Mytilus edulis: one gene and its partners. The protein of the gene in region 3 purifies or fractionates together with the protein of the main gene of each other region. This does not show direct contact. Links are inferred from orthologs where the notes say so. Each region holds a gene or a part of one and is shown on either strand. Other genes may lie near its edges.

Region 1 (6,952 bases), on a different chromosome or scaffold from region 3:
GTTAGCTTGAAAAATAAATATATTCTCTCTATATTAAATCTATCTTCGATTGCAATGAGTATGCTCCTTTAGGATAAGGGGGGCTGCCCCACTCATTGCAATTATTCTCTTTCTTACAATATTAAGTAACTACATTTACCTGTACTTTAATTTACCTTTACTTTTAATTACCTGTAAAATCATACTTTTTGAATTAAAAATTATATATTGATTTATAAATGTTGAAATAATATGTAAATTTTTATATATCTAAAGTATGTTATATCATAATTCATAATAACTAAATTTTAAATTAGTCGGAATTAGTGTTATAAATGAATAAAACATATCAAATTCATTAATTTATATAAGCTGACATTTGCATAAAGATTAAAGTTTAAATTTATTTGACTTTTTATTATGTTTTTACTTCAATTAATAGTAAAAACAACCATGAAAATTTCAATCGACCAGTATTTGCCAGTATTGAACACTTGGGGAGTATTGTCCGGGGCGGTAAATACCGGTAAATACCACTGGTAAATACCGGGGGCGGTATTTACCGCCCAACCAACCTTGTTAAAAATACACTCTTTAATACATTGTCTTATAAATCTTTAATATCTACATTTTTCTGATGAAAATACTTTACTCATGAAAACATTCTAGTCAAGAAGCATACATGTCTGAATATATTTCTTTAAAACAGTTCTAGTCATAATGACATTCCTTGTTTATAAGTGTTCCAGTATTTAATAATTATACCATATTTTATGTCATAAATTGGATAATGACGCTATGTTAAAGTTTCAGTTTTGGTTAAAATTTTTTTTATCTGAAAATGCCTGTTCATTTGATGTTGGTTTTCAACATGTCCAGTGTTTGTTGTTTTAAAATGTTTTTTTTTCTTCACAAGAAACTTGGTTTAGTGTAACTGCTTGTTTAAACTGTATTTTGGCTGATAAAATAAAATATTTTTCCTACCTACCGACCCTTCAGTCTGAAGGTACAGTCGGAAAACTGCAAACAAACATATTTTTAAGGTTGGCCTAAATTAAATGAAACAAAACAAAATATGATTGAGTTAAAGAATAAAATAAAGAAATACCAATTTCTTGAAAATCATATATTGCAAAGAAAAATGATAAAGTCCAAGTTTGTGAAAAATTTTGGTCTCCTTTACATGTAACTAAGTGTTGTTTTCATATTATCTATGTTTAGTTCAGAGAAAAGAAATAATTTATAAATTATGAACAAATTTATTTCTTTAAAAAAAATTGTATTAAAAAGTAAGTCATGACACATATTGTAGCAAAACAGATGAGTGAAAGTATTAGTGTTGTATGTGAGTAAGTCAGAGAGAGAGAGAGAGAGAAGAGAGATAAATCAAATACAATTTATATGTAACCTAAAATATTCTTATTGTTAAAAATTAATTATATATTTTTTGTATAAATAAACCAATTTATCAAGACGTCTCGGCCATTGGCCTTCTTCAGTTCTTTATTTTCCCTCTCAACTACATGGCTGACATATATATAATGTCAGCCATGTAGTTGAGAGGAAAAATAAAGAACTGAAGAAGGCCAATGGCCGAAACATCTTGATAAATTGGTTTATTTATACAATTATAAAAAGTATGTTCCCTATTGGAATTTTGAAAACAAAGAAAAATTAATTAGTCAAGAGATTCATTTTGTATATATTGCTATTTTTTTCTTCTGTATTTACCCCTTGATACCATTGTCAGGTGGTAGTGTAATGGGGTGTGAAAAATCCTGACTATTGAAAAACAAATAAAAGATAAAAAAAAAAAATTAAATTCAAGAAAGAAAAAAAAATCTCGGGAAAGACATTTAATTTTTTTCTATGTTATAGTTTTTTTCATTTTTATTACCTAATGCTTAAAATTCATTTACTTTTAAAGGAGTTTTATTTATATAATAATCCAGTTTGTTAGAAATCTTGATCGATTTATTTTGCATAACTACGTGCATTTGTAAACAAATGACCCCCCATTTCTCTCTAAATACTGTTATGCGTATTTAAATCATACAATTATTTCTCAAGTATTGACAGAAAATTGATATATCCTCTGATTTTCTCTTTTTTTTTTGTAAACTGTTCAATAAGTTGGATACATAAATCATTTGGAAATGCTATTTATTTGAGGCGAGTCGACAATATTCTACTTTAGTTTTTGACCTTGATTCTCTGAACACCACATGGGCTTTGAAAAATGAACTTCAAAAGATACTGTTTTCCAGATTCTGAACAATATGATCTACTACACTTTCATTAATTTGACTGATATTATTCCATAACATAAGATTGTCATCCTATATGATTGTCATCACGTTTTATAAAAGCAAAAAAAAAGCCCACGAGTTAATGACCATCGGAACGTCTCTATTGTTATCATTCAATGACCACCGGAACGTCTCTCTTGTCATCTTTGAAAAGAAACGATGCATTCTAACTTTAAATACACAACCAATCAGTGACCTGAATTCATGTGAACTATATAATTTTAGCCCAAGGTAAACACTGACTTTTCATCCCTTGTTTATTGTGACCGCGACTTTGCGACAATACGTCTCTCGGCTGCCTGTAAACATTTGTAAAAATATTTTTTTTTCTTTTTGAATTTATATTTTTGTCAGTGAAGAAGCCTGCACTTGAAGGCACCGTAAACGGTGGATTTCCGCCGGCTAACGGCTTCAATGGAAAGCCCTGCGTTGAGGGTTGCTTATAGAGACAAAATACACCAATTAAATAAATCATCAACCTTGTTCAACTTCTGCTTTACTATGAACTCCACAGGAACAGTTGGAACAATGTTTTGTAGGTTTTCTCTGCAATAAATGTGATGAAATCTGAACACGTTGTCTATGATGACAAAGTTCTCTCGTCTTCGCAACTAATGAACTGATTGATCTTGTATTGGCATCTGTTTGTGCAACGCCTAATATTTGACGTGATTTGCAATTTTTCACAACCTGACAGGAAATCAAAGATGACCTTCTGAAAATTAAAGATGCCATTGCTTTTTTCTGTGAATTTGTACCGGAAAGCATGAATACTTGTGGTCAATGCGCATGACCTTGAAACGGGTGCGAGACTTATCAACCACGAGACATGTCGTCCCTTCACCATCTCGTACTCTGACAAATAGTACTTAACCAACTCGTACATTTTACTTTTGAATTTCTTCTTTAATACTGCGAACAGTTGACTACCCAATATTCTTCACCGAACTATAGACGATAAAAATATATCTTTGCATTTAAAAAAAACAAACCGTGTTAATGTATATGTTACAGTAAATAGGTGAAATTAGGAATTACATGTAATTACTAAAAGGAGTAGGTCCGGTAAGGACCGATTTTGGCCTCAAATTTCACGTTCATCTGACGAAAGATTTTGACAACTTTTTAAACACTTAAGTGTCTATTTTATTTAAATCAATTAGTGTATGTGAAAGATTTGAACTGATTTAGTCATAAAAAACTCACCGATTTAAGCTCAAATATGAAAAATCTACCAAATATGCCGAAATATATAATTTTTCAGATAGTTTTTGTCAAAAATGAAAGTGGCCGCATCCGTGTTCATCCTCAACCTTTATATATGTTATATTTTATCATAAAGTACAACTTACATTTCAATATTAAGGATGAACACGAATGCGGCCACTTTCGTTTTACACGAAAACCGTCTAAAATTTAACTAAAATGCTAGAATTGTGAAGATTTCAGTAAAATAGCATGACTTAATGGTGCTAGTACCCGATATATGTGCATTGTATTGTCAAAATCAGCCCAAATTTATGTAGCAGAAGCATTCTACTGTCCAATGAATAATTAAACGTTTACATTTTAACAATTTTGTAAAACTGCTATATTTTGGGGCCAAAAAGGGGTCTTACTGGACCTACTCCTTTAGGAATTACATGTAATACCCGATGCACCCAGTAAATACTAGTAATTCCTGAAATGGCCTAGTTATTACCAGTAATTACTAATTTTAAAATGAATTTTTACACCTATTTACTAACTGTTAAAACAAAGTTGTAATATGGTCAGCTGATCAAAAGTTAGGGTAATACTAACTATAGAAGATCAGCAGTGGCGGATCCAGAAATTTTCATAAGTGAGAGCCCACTGACTGACCTAAGAGGGGGCCCGCTCCAGTCACACTTCAGTGATTCCCTATATAAGCAACCAAATTTTTTCCCCAAAAAGGGGGGGGGGGGCCGGGCCCCCTGGGCCCCCTCTAAATCCGCCTCTGATCAGTGAGCAGTCTTAAAAAGTGATTAGCCTAAAATGCATCTTTTTTTATAGGAGCATTTTTTTGTTAAATCATTAATGAAAATGATATAGTGAAATTATAATTCACTTTAAGCAGTCAATCTGGATCTATTTTACTAAAAATAAGCTCAGAAACCTGCTTGATGAGTTGTGCACTTGCAAGTGAATAAATGGACCTCATTGAATACTTATTCATGTGACCTTCAATTCAACCCCTAGCTATAGATAGGTTACCGATGGATTCAGATTTAAAATTGTAAGGGTTTCATGGAACCCAGTATATTGCCTACTATTAGTCGCAGGCTCAACAAAAATGGGAAAAAAAATTAAAATTTTCCTCCATATACTATCTTTTGTCTAGGACTGTAAGAAGCTTTTGTCCAAATTTGGTTAAAATCCAGGATGGTTTATGAAATCTAATAAATGTTTAAGAAAAACTTTTACCGGAGAGTGTACGGTATGTTAACTGGAGAAAAAAACGAAGTCCATTTATAAGGAATATACTAAAAAGGATTTTTTTCCATCGTTACTTCTGGATATTATCTCATGATCAAGTTTGGTAGAAATCCAGGATATTTTGAGAAAGTTATTAAAATTTCAAAAACTTTAACCACAGTGTGAATGTAATGTTAACTGGCATAAAACTAGATTTATAAGTAAAATACGGAAAAACTCGATTTATTTTTACAAAATTTACTTCTTAAAAATTACCTTATTATCATAAGCAAGCTTCTGTTCAAGTTTGGGATAAATCTAGGACAATTTAAGAAAGTTATCAAAATTTCAAGAACTTTAAGGGTAACACAAAATTTTTCCTCTCGTTTAATTTTTCTTATTTTTACATCATTGAAAAGGTAGGGGTCCATGCATCATCTGCCAAAGTCTTACGGAAATTCACCGTTTCATTTTATGTTTAGGGTATATTGAATATGACCAGTTTTGGGGTACCCTACAAAACGGTCGAAAACATGTGCACTAGTAGGTAAAAATCATTGAGAGATTTTGCAAATGTTGTCAAAAGAAATACCCCTGACTGTTAAATTGCATAGAAGAAACATATTTTAAAGTAAATCTGAGACATAATGGTAATACAAATAGCCTGAATGTTAAAAAAATACAATTGATACGGCAAAAAGTCTGGTCAGCTCAGATAACAATTTTTTTTTCAAATTTAGACAGAAAAAAAATTGTCGTTTAATTCCTGCAAAAAAATGTTTAAACACTTGTTGGTTATTACTCTTTAAAATCACAAAATTTTACTTTATCGAATGTCTATCATCAAAAAGAGGTGACGAAGTTGCCTGTAAACTTCTCAAATATTTTTTCAATTTTGGAATGATATCATTTGTCTTGCATGCTGAAATTGATTTTTAGGGAGTTTCAAAACTTTAATAATAACCATTTTCCAGTTTTAATTCACAAACACTACAGAATATACACTTTTAATGTGCCTTATATTCCGTTATCCTTAATGAAATAAGCTCTAAAATACCTACCCTTTACGTTCTTATTTTGTATCTTGAATTATAACTTTAATTTAAAAACAAAAATATCAAGTTAGTAAATAGCTGTAAAAATTACAAAAAAAAAATCAGTGAATACCAGTTATCACTAAAACAACTGGTAAATACATGTAATTACTAAATTGGCTAGTAATTACAGGTATTTACTGAAATGTTTAGTAATTACGTGTAATTTCTAATTTCACCTATTTACTGTAACATATATATTATAAACTGTTAGAATACCTTTTCAATCCTTTTGAAACTATACATGGGGAATATACAACTAATAATAATAATAATAATAATAATAATAATAATAATAATAATAGTAATAATAATAATAATAATAATAATAATAATAATAATAATAATAATAACATGATGATGTTGATGATGATGATGATGATGATGATGATGATGATGATGATGATGATGATGATGATGATGATGATGATGATGATGATGATGATGATGATGATGATGATGATGATGATGATGATGATGATGATGATGATGATGATGATGATGATGATGATGATGATGATGATGATGATGAGATGATGATGAGATGATGATGATGATGATGATGATGAAACGCATCACGAAACGAATTGGCAACTGACAACTGTCATATTCCTGACTTGATTGCGGCATTTTTAAATAAACACAGGTAAGGTAAGGTAAGATTTCCAATTACAAAATCAGGGGCGGATGCAGGAATTTTCGAAAGGGGGGTGCTAACCCAGGGCACCCAGGGCAAAGGGGGGGGGGGGTGCAAAATATATGTCCCGATACAAATGCATTGATCGGCAAAAATAAAGGGGGGTGCGCACCCCCGGAACCCCCCCCCCCCTGGATCCGCCACTGAAAATTAATATGTATCTCCACAAATATGATTTTACATGGTTTTGGATGCTTTCTCTCTTCTAGACTGGAGTCTTGATTAAACATAATTATGACGATGTTGTCTGCTCTATGGTCGGGTTGTTGTCGCTTTGACACATTCCCCATTTCCTATCTCAATTTTATTGATTCAACATATGACGAGTATGGATGTGAATAATGATGATAATGGTACAGTTCTTCTTTCGTTAATCAGCAAAGGAAAATTTCATAAAACTGGTGTCGTCAAGTACAGGTGCTGACCAAAGTTTGACC
Region 2 (8,051 bases), on a different chromosome or scaffold from region 3:
TAATTGCTTACATCCACATTATTTAAAACTCTTGTGGATAGCCATTTTCTTGGCCACAATACCACCTTTAATCTTTAAATTGATGAATCCATGGCAAAACATGAAAAAACACAACATAGACAACCAAAGAATAAGCACATGAATAACTGATACTGGTTTCATCAGGGATCTCCATGGCCTGTTTAACGATGGCACCCCGCCATCGTTCAAATGTCTTGCGCCATCGTCAAATGACTTGCGCCATCGTTAAATTGTCTTGCGCCATCGTTACATTGTCTTCCGCCATCGTTAAAAACTTCATCGTTTTTTGCAGCCCGACGCCATTTTTTTTTCAATTATAATCAAATGCATGTAATTGCATAACCCTTAGGCTTTTTATGTTATAATCCAATACAGTTCTAACGCCTGAGGGATATCCGGATTAAGATCGCTAATCACTTGTACCTGAGCTTGTACAGGTAGATCAACAAACCACACAGGAGAATACTATCTGAGGAAAGACGATCCATTTGTCGAATTAATCAACTAAGTTTTAGCAAATGATTATGATAATTTAGATTAAATAAAAAAATTAATAATCCAGTTACAAAGAAAACAGTTTAACAAGTCGAACACGTGCTTTATTTTGACTTACGTAATCAGCATCCCCCTTTTTTTAATTAGAAGTACAAAATAAGACGCAAAACAGTAAATATTATTTCATTGCAAATAACTTGAATACTAGTACTGCTGTAACGATAATTTAGAATTACTTTAAAAGTTTAAAAGTAAAAACTTAAATATTTCCTGTAAAGAAATATCGTATCGTAATTCCGAATTCATTTCGTATATTACAATCAAATTGATACATCCGCATTTCCGGTTTCTATTCAGACTCGAAAGATGCATGTTGCACAGCATCAATTTGACAGATAAAGTCATTAAAAACGTTTTCATTTGTCAATGTTTGCTTTACAAATCTCTTTAACCTTTTACATAACCCGTACGAATCGTTTTGTTGTTGCTGCAAATCAGCCATACCGGTAATGGGTTCTGAATTTCTGAATATGACAACTGTCCATGAAAAATAAGCTCCACATCATTTGATTTTTAACCCCCATAACAATTACCAAAAATACAAGAAATCTACATGGGGACCTTCATGACAGCTTTTGGTCATTCTCGACTAAAGGGGGACCACGAAGACTTGGCATTTGAATGGTTAAAAACGGCAATAAATGAAAATATTGATACTTCAAATTCTATAATGAAAATTCAAATAAATATAATTTAAATAAGCAATGATTTAGCATGTTCACCATTCCTTGTATAGAGGGATAAAATACTTCAGATCGCGCTACACTATACAGCGTAGACACGGTTTGTGATATGAAAGTTCCTCCATCGTTCAATTTTCATCCATGGAGATCCCTGTTTCATTATAACTAAATTCATCAAAATACAATGGGAAATAATCGTGATAAACTACAGACCAGTAAACTATGAAATTCTTCAATTTGTACAGGTCTGTTTTAAGTTTTAAAAGACTTGTATATAATGCTGATACTAACGTAAGTGACACAGGTTTGTGCTGAGGTACATACGTAAAAAGCGAAAAAAAATAACTGAAGCCCCCAACCAGGTTTGGGATTTTTAATCTGTCATTTGTCTGTGTTGAAGACCAAATGTGGCCATGGGATGTTTTTTTGTTCTTTCGATGAGTTGTTGTCTCTGACACATTACGTTTCCATTATCAAATGTATTACATTTATGTAATAAGGATTAAGGTTTATAAGGGCAGGCAGACTTGCCAAATATCCTGTTACATCAACACATTTCGCTTTTGCCATATTAGAAAATTGTTTACTACACAGAACTCCAAAGGGATTATTAAAAGTGTAATCAGATTATTTCCTTGATGATGATGAGGATGATCGATCGATTGCTGCTTAACGTCCAGCGGCATGATAATAAGCATATTTAGGAAGGGAACATGTTAATAAGAGAACATGTTAATGTAATATTAAGATTTACCCTGCTTTGTATGTAGACCGACACATTGAGCCAGATTTTTAACGTGCTAGCTCTGAAGGAATGTCACTTAACCAGGACACATTATTTCCACCAGTCTCTGCTCTTATTCTTAAATGCAGCGTCCTTAGCGGAGAAGAAGCAAATACCAATTTTAAAGTGTTTGGTTTGACCCGGCAGAGGTTCCAACTCACAACATCCCTCACTCGAGGCTAACACTCTACTATGACACCACCAAGCTGTTTACTCCGTTACAGAGGATAAATAGCTAAAAGTTAAATAGCCTTTAACAGACATGACAGATTGGCAAGGTAAATTGTTACTTACTACTGATAAAACTATACTTGGGTCTTTCTTGGAAAGACATCATTTGAAAACAGTCGAAAGGTTTTCTGTAACCCAATATTATATTTCACTTACCATGCTAACACAATTTTATACTAATTTAGTAATTAAATTTGTAAACAATTTTAGACATTTCTTAGTATCTGAAATAAATCGAAACGGAACAATTAAAATGATGTAAGAGTCATGTCATTACAACAAATCAAGATTTCCAAAAAGATTGACTTTACACAAAGAGGGAGAACAAGAGTATAAGTGCATTGTTTTCATCTCTGTCGATTTTTGATTGATGGCTTACCTTCAGCAGGGCAGAGCCCCGTTTGTGAAGTTTTACACGAAAGACAATACACAACGAAAATGTTATATAATAGGAAACTAAAGTATATCTAAATATGGTCTGGTTAACTATAATGTCGCCCTAATACACGCTGAAACAGATGATACATAGTCCACTTTTGAACGGTTGCAGTACAACATCGGAAAATGTTGGAAATCGCCCGGATACTTGCATGCGCAGAGCAAGATTGACCTAATTTTCATTTCTAAGGTCAAATTTTGCAAAATTTCACCAGTAAATGCAATTATTGATTGAATAAAAAGAGAGAATAAATAATATGCCTTCTTGCAAAAGCACCTCTGATTTGAAATGCACACGCTAATCTGTCTCCCAGATTTTTTTCTCGATAAAAGTCGTCTCACAGACTGCTTCCGGGTCATTTACTTCATTTGGAAATCTTTAGATTTTTCCATCGACAACCATTCCGAACGAACCAAAAATTACAACACATTTCCCTCAGTTTTGTTCAACACATTTTCTCATTTTTAACACTTTTATTAATTGAGACTTTACAGTAAACTTCAAAATGGGTATATTGGAAAGAATATCAGAAATTGAGGCTGAGGTAATATGAGTTTTTGGGCTTTGTAAAACTTCTGGAGTACCCCTTTTTTCATTCATTTGATACCATGGCCATGGGCATGGTGAAATATTACCCACCCATGGAATGAAAAGTCCTATGTTTCTCAAAACTTTCTACTACCAATATGTGGGATAAGCCTTTGAACATGTTGAATACGCTAGTGACATATATGTCCTGTGGCTGTGTTGATAGACTACGTTTGCTAGGAATGTCAGATAAATAATTATACCATATTATGCATGGGGTTTTGCGCTATTTAAAATGTATTGTCACATCTCCATTAAGGATATGATGAACAGAAAATATATGATCTGATGATTTAGTGCCTTAGATCAAGAACATATATATTGATGGGACTTGACTCTATCTAATAATAGAGGATTTCATTGTCGCGTCATTTTTTTTGGGTAAAAAAATAACACGATATGTAAATGAAAATGTGTAAAATATGAAATGGCTATTATCTTAATAATATCTAGTAATATCAAGACATGCCATTCAAACTAGGTAATGAGTGAGGCCAGTGTATTGAACTTGATTTCTGTCACTTCAAATTTGTCATTTATATAATCGAATTCATTTCATCACGGAACTGAATGCAAACAGAGTAATAAAAAATGGTGCAATGGCTTCACAGTAACTGTGAAATTCACAAACCAATATAAAGATCTTTGCATCAGATAAATCACACTTAAATGTATACTGCTTATTTTATATGACAAAATACATTGTATATCTACTTGAAAATAAAACTTTAATTTGTTGTATATTTGTAATAATGTGGTTAATTTATTGAACATTCTCAATGGTTTTGCAGTCAGACGCTTTCAAAATCCATCAATCTCTCGACATACTCAAGGTCGCAGGAAGTTTGGGATTTGATCAACTTTACACTGAAAATCCTATCAGATTTATTTCCTTTTAGATATATATATTCTGTTCCCAGCTTTAATTAATACACCATATATATCTTTGTCTGCCATAACTGGATATCACATAGGTTCCTTTAAATTTTAGTATTATTAAATATGGTGACCAATAACTTCTATGAATTTTATCTCTTTAAAGTTGTCTAATTCATGTCATTGGGAATGATTGCAAATAGTCTTATTTTTTGGTAAAGTGTCCTGAAATCAATTTTATGTTATCATGGTTTTGTTCTAGTTTATGAACTATGGTCAGTTTACTTTATTCTGATGACCTGCAGCCCTAGTGTGCCCAATATCACATGGGCAACATCTCGTTCCTTTTCTAGTTTAATTAGGATCCCATCAAATTATACTAAATTTCTTATTAATCAATTAATAGCAACTTATAAGAAAGTCTTGACTCTTGTACATTTTGCTTGAATTTGTTAGAAATACCTAAAAAATCTTCTGAAATATTTTATTTAACTGGTATTCATATTTAATATTCTCAAGGTAGTCCTAGCTAATTTATTTTAGCACTTAGCAGAGTATACACAATTTGATTGTGAAATAAGATTAGACTAAAAAAATATTATTTATAAAATTACAAATAACAGAAGGAAAATATTAAGGGCTATTCCAGAAAAAAATGTATGGGGGTGGGGGTTGGAAGGCACATTGTATTAATAATACATGGGTGATGGGTATCAGAGCAACTTTTCACACTATAATGCACTATAATTCTCAGTTACAATTGTCTGGGTGGCGTGTGCTGACAAAAACTGCCTTCCAACAACCCCCCCCCCCCCCCACCCCCTACATTTTTTTCTGGAATAGCCCTAAGTCATCTTGAGCAAATCATTTATTTAATTAAAATGGCTTAATTCGTGTATTTTAAAATAAAAATTGAAATTGAAATCAAACTAAAACTATCAAAGACTAAAAAAGTTTAAGTGTGTATAGGAAAAAACTCTTATTTTATTCCGAACATTTTTATTTCATTAAGAATAACAACAGAATAAAGAAATCAGCTATTCTTAACACAAGCACTGACTAAAAGAAATTGTTTTCTAAATAAAATTAATATTTAAACATCTAATTTTATAATGATTAATGGAAATAATTTAAAAAAAATATATGATTATATTCAACATGTTCAAACATATTTTTAAACATTTATATCTGTAAAAATATAATTGCAATTTAAAATAAAACTAGTACATGTTGGTGACATTCAGTTATTATTTGATTGTATTGTGTCAGTTATGTCGATAATAATGGTGTCGTCCTGTAGCAGGTATTTTCTTTGTAGCTGTTTTGAAACTTGAGAAACAGAACAGACATTTTGTTTATATAGATTAGACCGTTGGTTTTCCCGTTTGAATGGTTTTACACTAGTAATTTTGGGGCCCTTTATAGCTTGTTGTTCGGTGTGAGCTAAGGCTCCGTGTTGAAGGCCGTACTTTAACCTATAATGGTTTACTTTTTAAATTGTTATTTGTATGGAGAGTTGTCTCATTGGCACTCACACCACATCTTCCTATATCTATGATAACATTTCATAACATTTCCCAAAAATTTCATAACCTCATTTTTTGGAAAATGACGCAGTCATTGTTCCATAACTGCCGACCTGATTTCTCTGCCTACCGCGCTTGGTTTCGTATTTACTAATTTCAATACAAACTGGAATGTGCTTGTGTTATCATTATGCATGAGCATTGTGTAGTAATCAGCCAGGAACCAGTTTACAAACTAACTGGTTTCTGTTTGTATTCCACTACATTCGAACCAAAGTGTTGTAGTTTGACAGGAACCAGTCCAGAATTTTGTAAACTACAAAACGTAATCGGTATATTATCATTCCGTTTTGGTGTTTCATACCGACTTATATGGTTTGAATAAGCTTAAGACCCTTCAAACATTAATGTAATAGGCATATTAAAGACTGTTTTACAAAAGGATGAAACTGTTTTGCTTTAAAAGTCGTACTATAGTGATATATGTTATGTACGGATTTCCACTCTCACCGGTTAATTTCTTCTTTTACACGTGCTTTTGAAACTTCCTGTTTAAACATCGCAAGTTTTAAAATTGTTTTTTGAGTGAATTAAACTTATTTTAACAATCACGAAGCGTTCGGGAATCATTTCAAGCAGTTTCTTCTTCTGTTTGATGATGGAAAATAGGTTTTCTCAAGAAAATACCGCAAACGATCGCAGAGGAATTGAAACGTACAAGTCAAGTCGGCACCTGGTTAAATTGGCATCTAGTCAAATCGGCACCTATTTGACGTCAATTCGGCTTCCAATAATATTTATTATAATATTTTCTATTCAATTAATTAATAACTGTTACCAAGTACATAGTGAATATTAGGTAAACAACGAAACCAAAGTGAATATGTTGTTGTGTATAAAAGTAAACAACGAAGCTATTGTTTTAACCATTAGACAATTATTAAAATTAAATGGAAAACTATGAGTCCCTTTCAATAAATCAAACTTTCATGCCAAATAATTAGCAAATTTAAGGTGGGTTTTTTTTCAGTAATGTTTAAACAGCATTAAACAAACAATCCTGTAAAAGACTCAACTGGTTAAATAATGCATAAAAATATCCAATATCTCATGTATTAGTCCAAATAATAATGACGTCTGACAAGGCTATTTTATTTTTTTCTGGGACGCCTTCCTAAGACGCTCGTAGGAAGGCTTCCTAAGAAGGCGTCCCAGAAAAAAATTAACATAGCCTTGTGGTCATAGGAAGGTGTCCCAGAATAAAATTTAAAAAGCCTTGCCAGACGTAATAATTATTTGGACTACTCATATATATCATTAAAAATACACCAAAAAATTCATGTAGTTGAGAAAAATAAATACATACAAAATGTACATGAACATCCAAAAAAGTGAATGTTAGTATTAACTCTTTTTGCTTTAAAAATTTACAACTGCATTTAAGTATTGAATGCTTTTTTTTTGTAAATTCATTGAGGTGTAAAAGCGTTGACCGAAGTACTTTTTGTATGAAGCGCGTAAGCGTAAGCGCTTCATTCTAAAAATGTGCACACGGTCAACGCTTTTGCAACCCTATGAGGTTACAAAAAGAAACATTCAATACTTATAATTACTTTTTTTAGCTAGGATCATGAAAACACGAATTTTATAACTTTTTTATTCAATTCATCTGTGCACTTTATTGTGGGACCACGTGTTATCATGAATGAAAAGTTTTATTTAGTGATGCAATTGCTTGAGGAATAACATGTGATGTGCAGTTAGCCAATCAGAATAAAGTATTATAATGAAACATATATCAAATGTAATTATAACAAAATACATTACGTTGTAAGAGTTATCTCCCCAAACACTGTTTTTCTTGTGGCCACCTCTCCTTCGTAACCGTAAAAGATTTTATTTTACCAAATTGCTCGTTACATATTTAGGATAAGAATATTCGTTTGAACCATAGCTCTATGGGGACTCCATATGAGAGTTATTCCCCCTTTTTCATTTGATTCAAGCGATATGCATTTTCAACTGGTAAACCATAACTGATAGAGACCTAGGGTCTTCATGAGGTCATTGGTACTAAAAATGAAAATGAGGTCAATGTCAAAGGTCAAGGTCATATTATAAATTTTGATTTTGGCTTATTTTCACTTCTTTTCAAATACTGTATGACATTTTGACAAATAATTTTTCATAAATTATTAGTTGCGACATGTCCTTACTTGTATATTTTGGTTGAAAGGCTGCGCATACAATAAAAGGGAGTTTTTGTCCATCTTACATTTAAAATTACGCGTCAAGTGGTAGTACTCATTAACCAAACATATTAAAGACCTAGGATATTTTGATTCAAG
Region 3 (7,445 bases):
AAGTCTATAAATCAGGAGGACCCTTTGGATAATTATATAAAAAGCCTAAGGGTCATGAAAATGGCAGGGTTTTAAGGCATAAATTAGGCCTTTAGTTTTCTCATTTGATTTGTTTTAAATTTGTCATTACAGGGCTATTTATAGCCGACTAGTATGCAGTAAGGGCTTTGCTCATTGTTGAACGCAGTACAGTGAACATTAGTTGTTAATTTCTGTGTCATTTGGTCTCTTGTGGTGATGTTAGTTGTCTCATTGGCATTCATACCACATCTTCCTTTATATATTCATTTGAAGGTGCAGAAGATATTCAAAAGATATCTCTTCACCATCACAAAACAGGTCATGGAGATCCCTGAAAACGCACACATAATTATCATTATACTATAAATCATTTTATATATCTTGTTCCTAATTCATCTTTGTAACATTGCTAGTAAGACTATAAATATATAATAATGCAGACCTCTATGAGAACAACCTAAACAAAGCACATGCAAATACAAAAGTCCAATCAATCGATAGTCACTCAAGTCTTTCAGCAATGATTGCATTTTGTGGAACAATTGAAGTGGCTATTTCCTTAATTCGACTTGTTAGACTCTTAATGGTCTATGGGTATAAATCTTATTGTTTGTACACCCTGATACCTGTTCGCCCAGGGTCCATTCGCCCTGATTTTTATTTTTTTCAAAGTGTTGTCTAGTTGCATAATTCTAAATATTTGAACAAAATATGTTAAAATTTGACATTATTTATATTGCCACAACCAATTTATAATTTTCCCTTTGATTTGCAGAGTAGAATACTGGAAAACAATGTCATGAATGTATTTATCTTTATTGATATTTGTTAACAAAAAAATTGTAATTTGTATTCAGTCAATCATGAATCAATGTATGCAGTATAACTGAGACTAGTCTAAGAGTATAAGAATAAATGAACTTGTAAATCTGTCTCATGCAGTGATCGGGAAGGTCGTGCGCCTTGCGCCTATAGCGCATATTGACAAGCAATGGCGCATACATTGATAAATGTAAGCGCCCACGTGGCGCACGATAGTTTTCACTTCGTTTCGAAACGTTTAGATATCGTCAAATGAATTTCCGATAATGTTCCGTGCCGCCATGTGTGTGTACACAACTGTGTAAAGTTCCTCTAATAATAGGAGCACCTATATATTTTTGGGACGTCTCGGGTGTTTTCCTATCATAATAGAACCATGCAATTTAACGTCTCGGTGTTTTCCTATTGTAATAATAGAACCATGCGGTCTAACGGATAACCCGAAAAACGTAATTAACCATCATTCATGATATATTATTTTTATAAACAACTTTAAATTTGTGAAATTTGGCTAGTACAGACGAGTTTTAACTCTAATAATAATCTCATTTAGTTTAGCTTGCTATTATTTCGATTGAAGAACCCCAAAGACTTTTTAGGAATATAGTTTTTGATCTCCATAACAGACGCTTAGTGTCCTTGTCATTTTTTGGTCTTTGGCTCGTTTTGACATTTTGTAAACATGACTTCAGCGATTTGTTGTTTTGTTCTATGAATTAATGGTACTCTATACTGTTTGTTATTCTTGTCAATGTGATGAAGTTACAATAATACAAGAAGTGCAGAGGAAATGCCCGAAATGTCCTCTGATAGATACGGAACGTCTGAAAGAAGTATGGTATCGACGAAGACCCAAATTTAATGTACAAAAAACATGAATATGAACAAGGTAACCGTACCAGTTTAAACATTGTAAATAAAGGTCGACTTAAATATTATTGGGGTTGGAAGAAGTTATTGTATATTCATTGAAATTGAATTACCAAATCACAGGAACAATATCCATGATGGAGTATATTTTGGCAAAGAGATGTTGATACTTACATTCATGATTTTATTTAAGTATCAACATCTCTTTGCCAAAATATACTGATACTTTTTTTTTTACAGAAGTCAATTCAAATGGCCTACTCATTTGACAACATGGCCCATTATTTTTTAAAATGGCCCATTGAATTTATTTTTGAGGGGCCCTGGGCCCATAGAGAAAAAAAACTTCCAGATCACTGCTCATGATTTACAGTTCGTACATCATTGTTTCTATTAATTTGAAGCTGAATATTTTATCAAAACAAAACGTTTGTTTTTATTATTAATCCATCAAAAGACAAGTATCACAATCAGTGAGCATTATTTTGTGATTGAATAATTAATAATCCTAAACAAGCCATAAACTTTTAAATATTTCCATGTTTCGAATTCCATAAATTTCAAGAATTTATACCATAGAAATATCTGAATAAGTTTATTTAACTTCAATGCCAAGAATAATATTTTTTTTAGTAGGGCGAACAGACTCTATGGACGAAGGAACTCAAGGCTAACAGACCCAAGTTGAACATGTTATTAGGGCGAACGGACCTGATATCCATTCTAACCATAATGTATCAAGTGCCACTGATGCATCTTCTTAGTTTAAGACGAAACCAGTGTAGGGCATATTAAATCATGACACAAGGATAAGCCAGGTATCTTTCACAACATAAATTCGTTTTTTTTATGTCAGAGTCGAGTATGTTTACTTGCATGATAATGTCTAAAGCTCAAACGTTACCGTGTTTACTCCCAAAGTGGAAGTGCTGGGTTTACCCATTGTCGTTTGTGCAAAACCTATCGCTTTTGTCATAAACTTTCCGGTTATTTCATGGCACCAAACTTTTGAGTAGGTAAAGGAATGCTGTCGCTTTTAACGACAAACGCATTTATTTTTTTGTTGCAGATGTTAATTTCACAACATGCATATATTTCATTTTCTGGAATGCTATCTATATTACCTTTCGCTAATGCAACTGTCGATTCATTCGGATCAATGGTATATAAAATACCCTCATATCGAATTCCTGCTTTAGAAATAAGACTTATTTTGCTACCAAGATATGGAATCCCCCCACTCATGATGGCAAGGAATCTCTAAACTTTCAAACAAAGGAGGATGCCAACGGATTTATCTGCTTCATCCAAAATATTGTATCAGCAGAATATAAGATGGCGGATGTTTTGATTCTGTCACGAGAGGGCGTACTTTTGAAAAAAGTGTCCCACAAATCTGTGATTTGCGCCTGCGTACTTCAGTCTAAAAATTTACTGCTAGGGAAATGGCGGCTGTCAACCCTCTAGATGATATTCTTAATAGTTCTGTAGATGAACTGGCAATTAATGCCTTAGTTGGCAATTTAGAAGCACGTCTAGCTTCCCCATCCAATAAGGATGTGTCTAATTCTTTATCAGATGCCTCAGTCAATAACAATCACATTGGCACAACAAGGTCTTCAACACCACAAAATAGTGGTTCAGTGTTCAACACGGCTACTGGAGTAGGTGCCAATGGACAAGCTGTATCAGCTCACAAAAACTTCACAAATTCTCATAATTTAAATGTTCAGTCTCCCTCCTCAAAAACAGACTCACAGTTGATTGGAATCAATTCAATATTAAATCCTATGAACTCATCACAAACAAGCAATATTGTTAGTACACATGTGAACTCATTGACAGTGAATAGAAGTTCTCCAATACCAGAATCAAATCGTATTCAGTCCCCTCACATAATAAGAACAGTATCAAACTCTCCAGGTTTTCAGAATGCAAGGAATTCACCAGTTCCATCGCCAAATTCAAATCCAGCCATATCCGCTAGTTCGCAGCATGCAATCAAACCAGACAATAGTGCTATTATTCAAAATGTTGCAATATTAGGAGATCATAAACCTTTAATGTCACAAGGAAACTGTATTCAAGTATCATCTAGTCAACAAATTCCAGGTGGACAAAATGTGTGTGTTAAACAAGAACCAGCAATAAGCTCACAGTATATTGTCAAAACCGAAAATATGCCTGTATCAAGTGTGAAAAATGAACCAAGGACAGCAGCTATACAAGCAGTGACAGGACTTCAAAATAGTGTATATACATCAGGAAATCATATTACACATGCAACCAATGTTCATATTGTAAATGCTCCAATCAAAGGCCATTCGGGTGTTATTACAGTGAAAACAGGTCCGCAACATGTAGTAATGCGACCACAAATTGTACAAAATTCAGGACAAATGCAAGTTGTTAATGTTAGTGCTCATTCAAATAGACCACCTGGAATAGTACAGGTGCCTCATGGAAAACACCAACCAGTCCGTATAGCTACACCAGCTCGTCACTCTCAAATAAACATTGCTCCAAGACCTGGTGGTGCTCCTGTAAGTTATATACCACTTGCTACTTTGTTTATTTTTTCTAGACTAGCTCACTTTAATCTGACATGGGCATGTAGAAGAGTAACAAAATTTTGAAAGAAAATGTAAAGATTACATGCATGTACATTGTATCTTTCGGAGATGTACATGTATGTTAATGTATAAAACAGCTATGAAAGATATACAATAAGCTCTTGATTAATGTTTGGTGTAATGTTATATTGCCTTGATTTCATATATTCAAACATGTTTAGGGGCACAGCCACAAGCAATTTTTGCTCCAGTTACCCGTATATATGACTTGTTTTAAAGTAAGCAACTGTTATTTACCTTATATATATGTGTACAGTAATTAACATGCACATGAACCAATCTACACTGTATTAGCACAATTTCTATAGTTTGTCATCAAAAGGGGAATAACTCTTTTTAGACTTTAATTAATCTAAATTATCATGCTTCAATTTGTAATTTTTCTTTGGCAATGACATAATTATACACTGCAATTTTAAATACACATAAAATGATGTGGCCAGATAGTATAAGTACTATCATAGCTACATGTACATGTATCATATCATAATGATGATAACTACATGTATCATGTGTAAAAACTTGACAAATTTACAAAAAAAAGTTCAATTGTTTACTACCCACCTGTACAAATGAATATATATAAGATTGTAACATTATCACAGAAAATAAAAAAGTATGATAAAAAACTGTACAGCTATCCAGATCAAAGGGAGACAACACATGTACACCTTTCTAAGGCCATTCAAAAAATAATATAATTGCTTGCCCCTCAGTCAACCCTGCTCAGGAATGTCTGTTTTTGCATCCTAGTAATTTCGTTCGTTTTCTTTTAAGAAATATAAAGAAGCAAGTGTATGTTTTGATTTAATTATTAAAATTGGTTTATATTAATTGTCTGATAATTTTTCTTAAAAATGTGTAATTCATATAATTCTTAAAGTTTATAATACATACATGTAGCTTCTAAATATCACAATAAATATATTGCAAGATATGATTAATTTCAAATATTTAAACAAAAAAGTCAAACCTTTGTGAGTTTTTTAGATAAAGTTCTGTGTAGAGCAATGCTGTTTTAGTTCAAGAATATACATTTTTAGTGCATTCATAGAAACCCTGCCGACATTTGACAATTGCAATATTTATATGAATTATATCTGTTTTCCTTTTATTTGGATTTGTTGTTTAAATGTCGGATATCAATATACCTCATTCAACCTTATACTAATAGACTAACATTTCCTGTTTACTTTTTTAGAATACAATTACATTACCGCCTGGTGTGCAAATTCCTCCTGGGACAGTACTGATGAGAAATGAACAAGGTCAGCTGATGTTTGTCCCTGCTTTACATGCATCTCAGCAACCTACTACACAAGGCCAAAGAATACAGTATGTCAGGGTATGTATTGATTGTCTGCCCGACAGACTTTATAGTATTATCAAAAGTTATTGGAAATTAATAATTATACATTGAATGAACTTTAATTAGTTCAAGCAAGCAGGTAATTCAAGCTGATTACGTCAGATGGAGCTATGAATTAACAAGGAGTCAATTGCCTCATTCCCCCCAATATACTATCTTATTAAATCATTTCAATATCACATTCTCTTCCAGATTTTCTGCATGGTGTAGTTTATATCCTGCCGTGTTTTATGTAGTCCTTAATTTTATATGTTACATGTTGGTAACAATTTAATTTGACATATTTAGACAATAGGCATGATAGGCCAACATACAACATGTACATATATGCAACTTGATACCTTGAATTCTTATGTATTTCAATTTACATGTACATGCATTATCTTTGTAGCCACCTGTAAGTTCACATCAGCAGCGCCCTCCAAATTCACAGATTGTGACTATTCAACCACAACAAGCACAACCTCCGAGGGTAGTCAGACCAAATACTCAACCATCAGTGACATCATCAGTTCCTACAGTTGTATCTCAACCACCATCTGCAAGTCAAGGTAGATAACTCAAAATTGTCATGAAAATTTTATTTCAATACTTGTTAAAAAGAAAAGTTCAGATAAAACAAAAATATAATTTAAAACCAATTCTCTTCACAATGACTCAATGACAGTAATATGACAGACTTTGTTTCCAGGAACTATGATAAATAAAGCAGTCTCTTTTCCATGCATGATTTTCAGCAAAAATAAACCCTATTCCAAATTTCGAAGTTTTAACTTTTACAGTTTTATTTTCATACCAAATAAAGGGAAATGATATTATAGACATGATAAATAAAGCTGTCACACCTTTTTCAGTTCTGAACCAGATAGGTTAATATTCAGGGACAATAATGCACCAATATCGTGATAAACCAGGTAGATTTTGATATTCTTAAACTAAGCATTTTATTAGATGATGAATAGAAATAATTAATGTTTTGTTTTTCTATCATCATTTCTGAATTTATGTTTACAGGTTCATTACCAGGTCATCATCAACAACCATTAGATAATGTGAAAAAATGTAAAAATTTCTTGTCAACTTTGATCAAACTAGCAGCAAGTCAACCAGAACAAACTGTGAAGAATGTCAGAGAACTTATCCAAGGACTAATAGTAAGTATATTTGATACTGGTTTTTTTTTCTAAAAATTGATTCTGCAAGGATTGCATATTTATTGGAGAGGTTTTTACAGAGGATTACAAACTTTTTGACATTTTGTTAATGACATATATATGCATTTTATTGCTATTATTTATCTAAAATCTATATATATATCACTAGCCCATTTTACTAAACTTTGAGTAAAAGTTTGGGTTCTTAATCATATTAATGCTAGTCAACTTCATACTTTATTTGGCCTTTTTCACGTTTTTAATTCGAGCATCACTGAATGACTGATGAGTCTTTTCTAGGAAAAAAACACAAATCTGGGGTACAAAATTTAAAGCCTGGTATCCATGATGATTTTATTCACAGATTTTTTTTTTAAATAAACATCTTTTCCTACTTCGTAATATAATGAGATAAAATTGTGTGAAGAAACATGTTTACTACAGTTCATATAGTATGCTATGTTTTACCACAGTGCTCACACATTTATCAATGTTTTAGACCATGCATATTTTTGTAATTTCCGATATATACTCATATATTAAATATTTATTACAGGACAATAAAGTTGAACCAGA

The links.
Region 1: the proteins of protein LSM14 homolog A-like (region 3) and complement component 1 Q subcomponent-binding protein, mitochondrial-like purify together in Homo sapiens (affinity purification with mass spectrometry; 3 studies listed by BioGRID and IntAct, with this or other methods). This does not show direct contact. The link is inferred for Mytilus edulis from reciprocal best matches to the Homo sapiens genes LSM14A and C1QBP.
Region 2: the proteins of protein LSM14 homolog A-like (region 3) and eukaryotic translation initiation factor 4E transporter-like purify together in Homo sapiens (affinity purification with mass spectrometry; 3 studies listed by BioGRID and IntAct, with this or other methods). This does not show direct contact. The link is inferred for Mytilus edulis from reciprocal best matches to the Homo sapiens genes LSM14A and EIF4ENIF1.

The regions. Positions count from the first base shown.
Region 1 is NC_092349.1:26,143,283-26,150,234, forward strand, and holds the start of complement component 1 Q subcomponent-binding protein, mitochondrial-like, read right to left. Parts: upstream 3,074-6,952; 5' UTR 3,057-3,073; coding exon 2,768-3,056; intron 1-2,767.
Region 2 is NC_092349.1:11,805,676-11,813,726, reverse strand, and holds the start of eukaryotic translation initiation factor 4E transporter-like, read right to left. Parts: upstream 3,088-8,051; 5' UTR 3,073-3,087; coding exon 2,990-3,072; exon of another isoform or gene 2,654-2,989; intron 1-2,653. Other genes in the region: GTP-binding protein 128up-like, read left to right, coding at 3,219-3,257. UniProt on the Homo sapiens protein: EIF4E-binding protein that regulates translation and stability of mRNAs in processing bodies (P-bodies). Plays a key role in P-bodies to coordinate the storage of translationally inactive mRNAs in the cytoplasm and prevent their degradation.
Region 3 is NC_092348.1:83,812,236-83,819,680, forward strand, and holds the start of protein LSM14 homolog A-like, read right to left. Parts: upstream 3,093-7,445; 5' UTR 2,959-3,092; coding exon 2,838-2,958; intron 1-2,837. Other genes in the region: transcription initiation factor TFIID subunit 4-like, read left to right, coding at 3,159-4,256, 5,548-5,691, 6,107-6,266, 6,730-6,869, 7,426-7,445. UniProt on the Homo sapiens protein: Essential for formation of P-bodies, cytoplasmic structures that provide storage sites for translationally inactive mRNAs and protect them from degradation. Acts as a repressor of mRNA translation. May play a role in mitotic spindle assembly.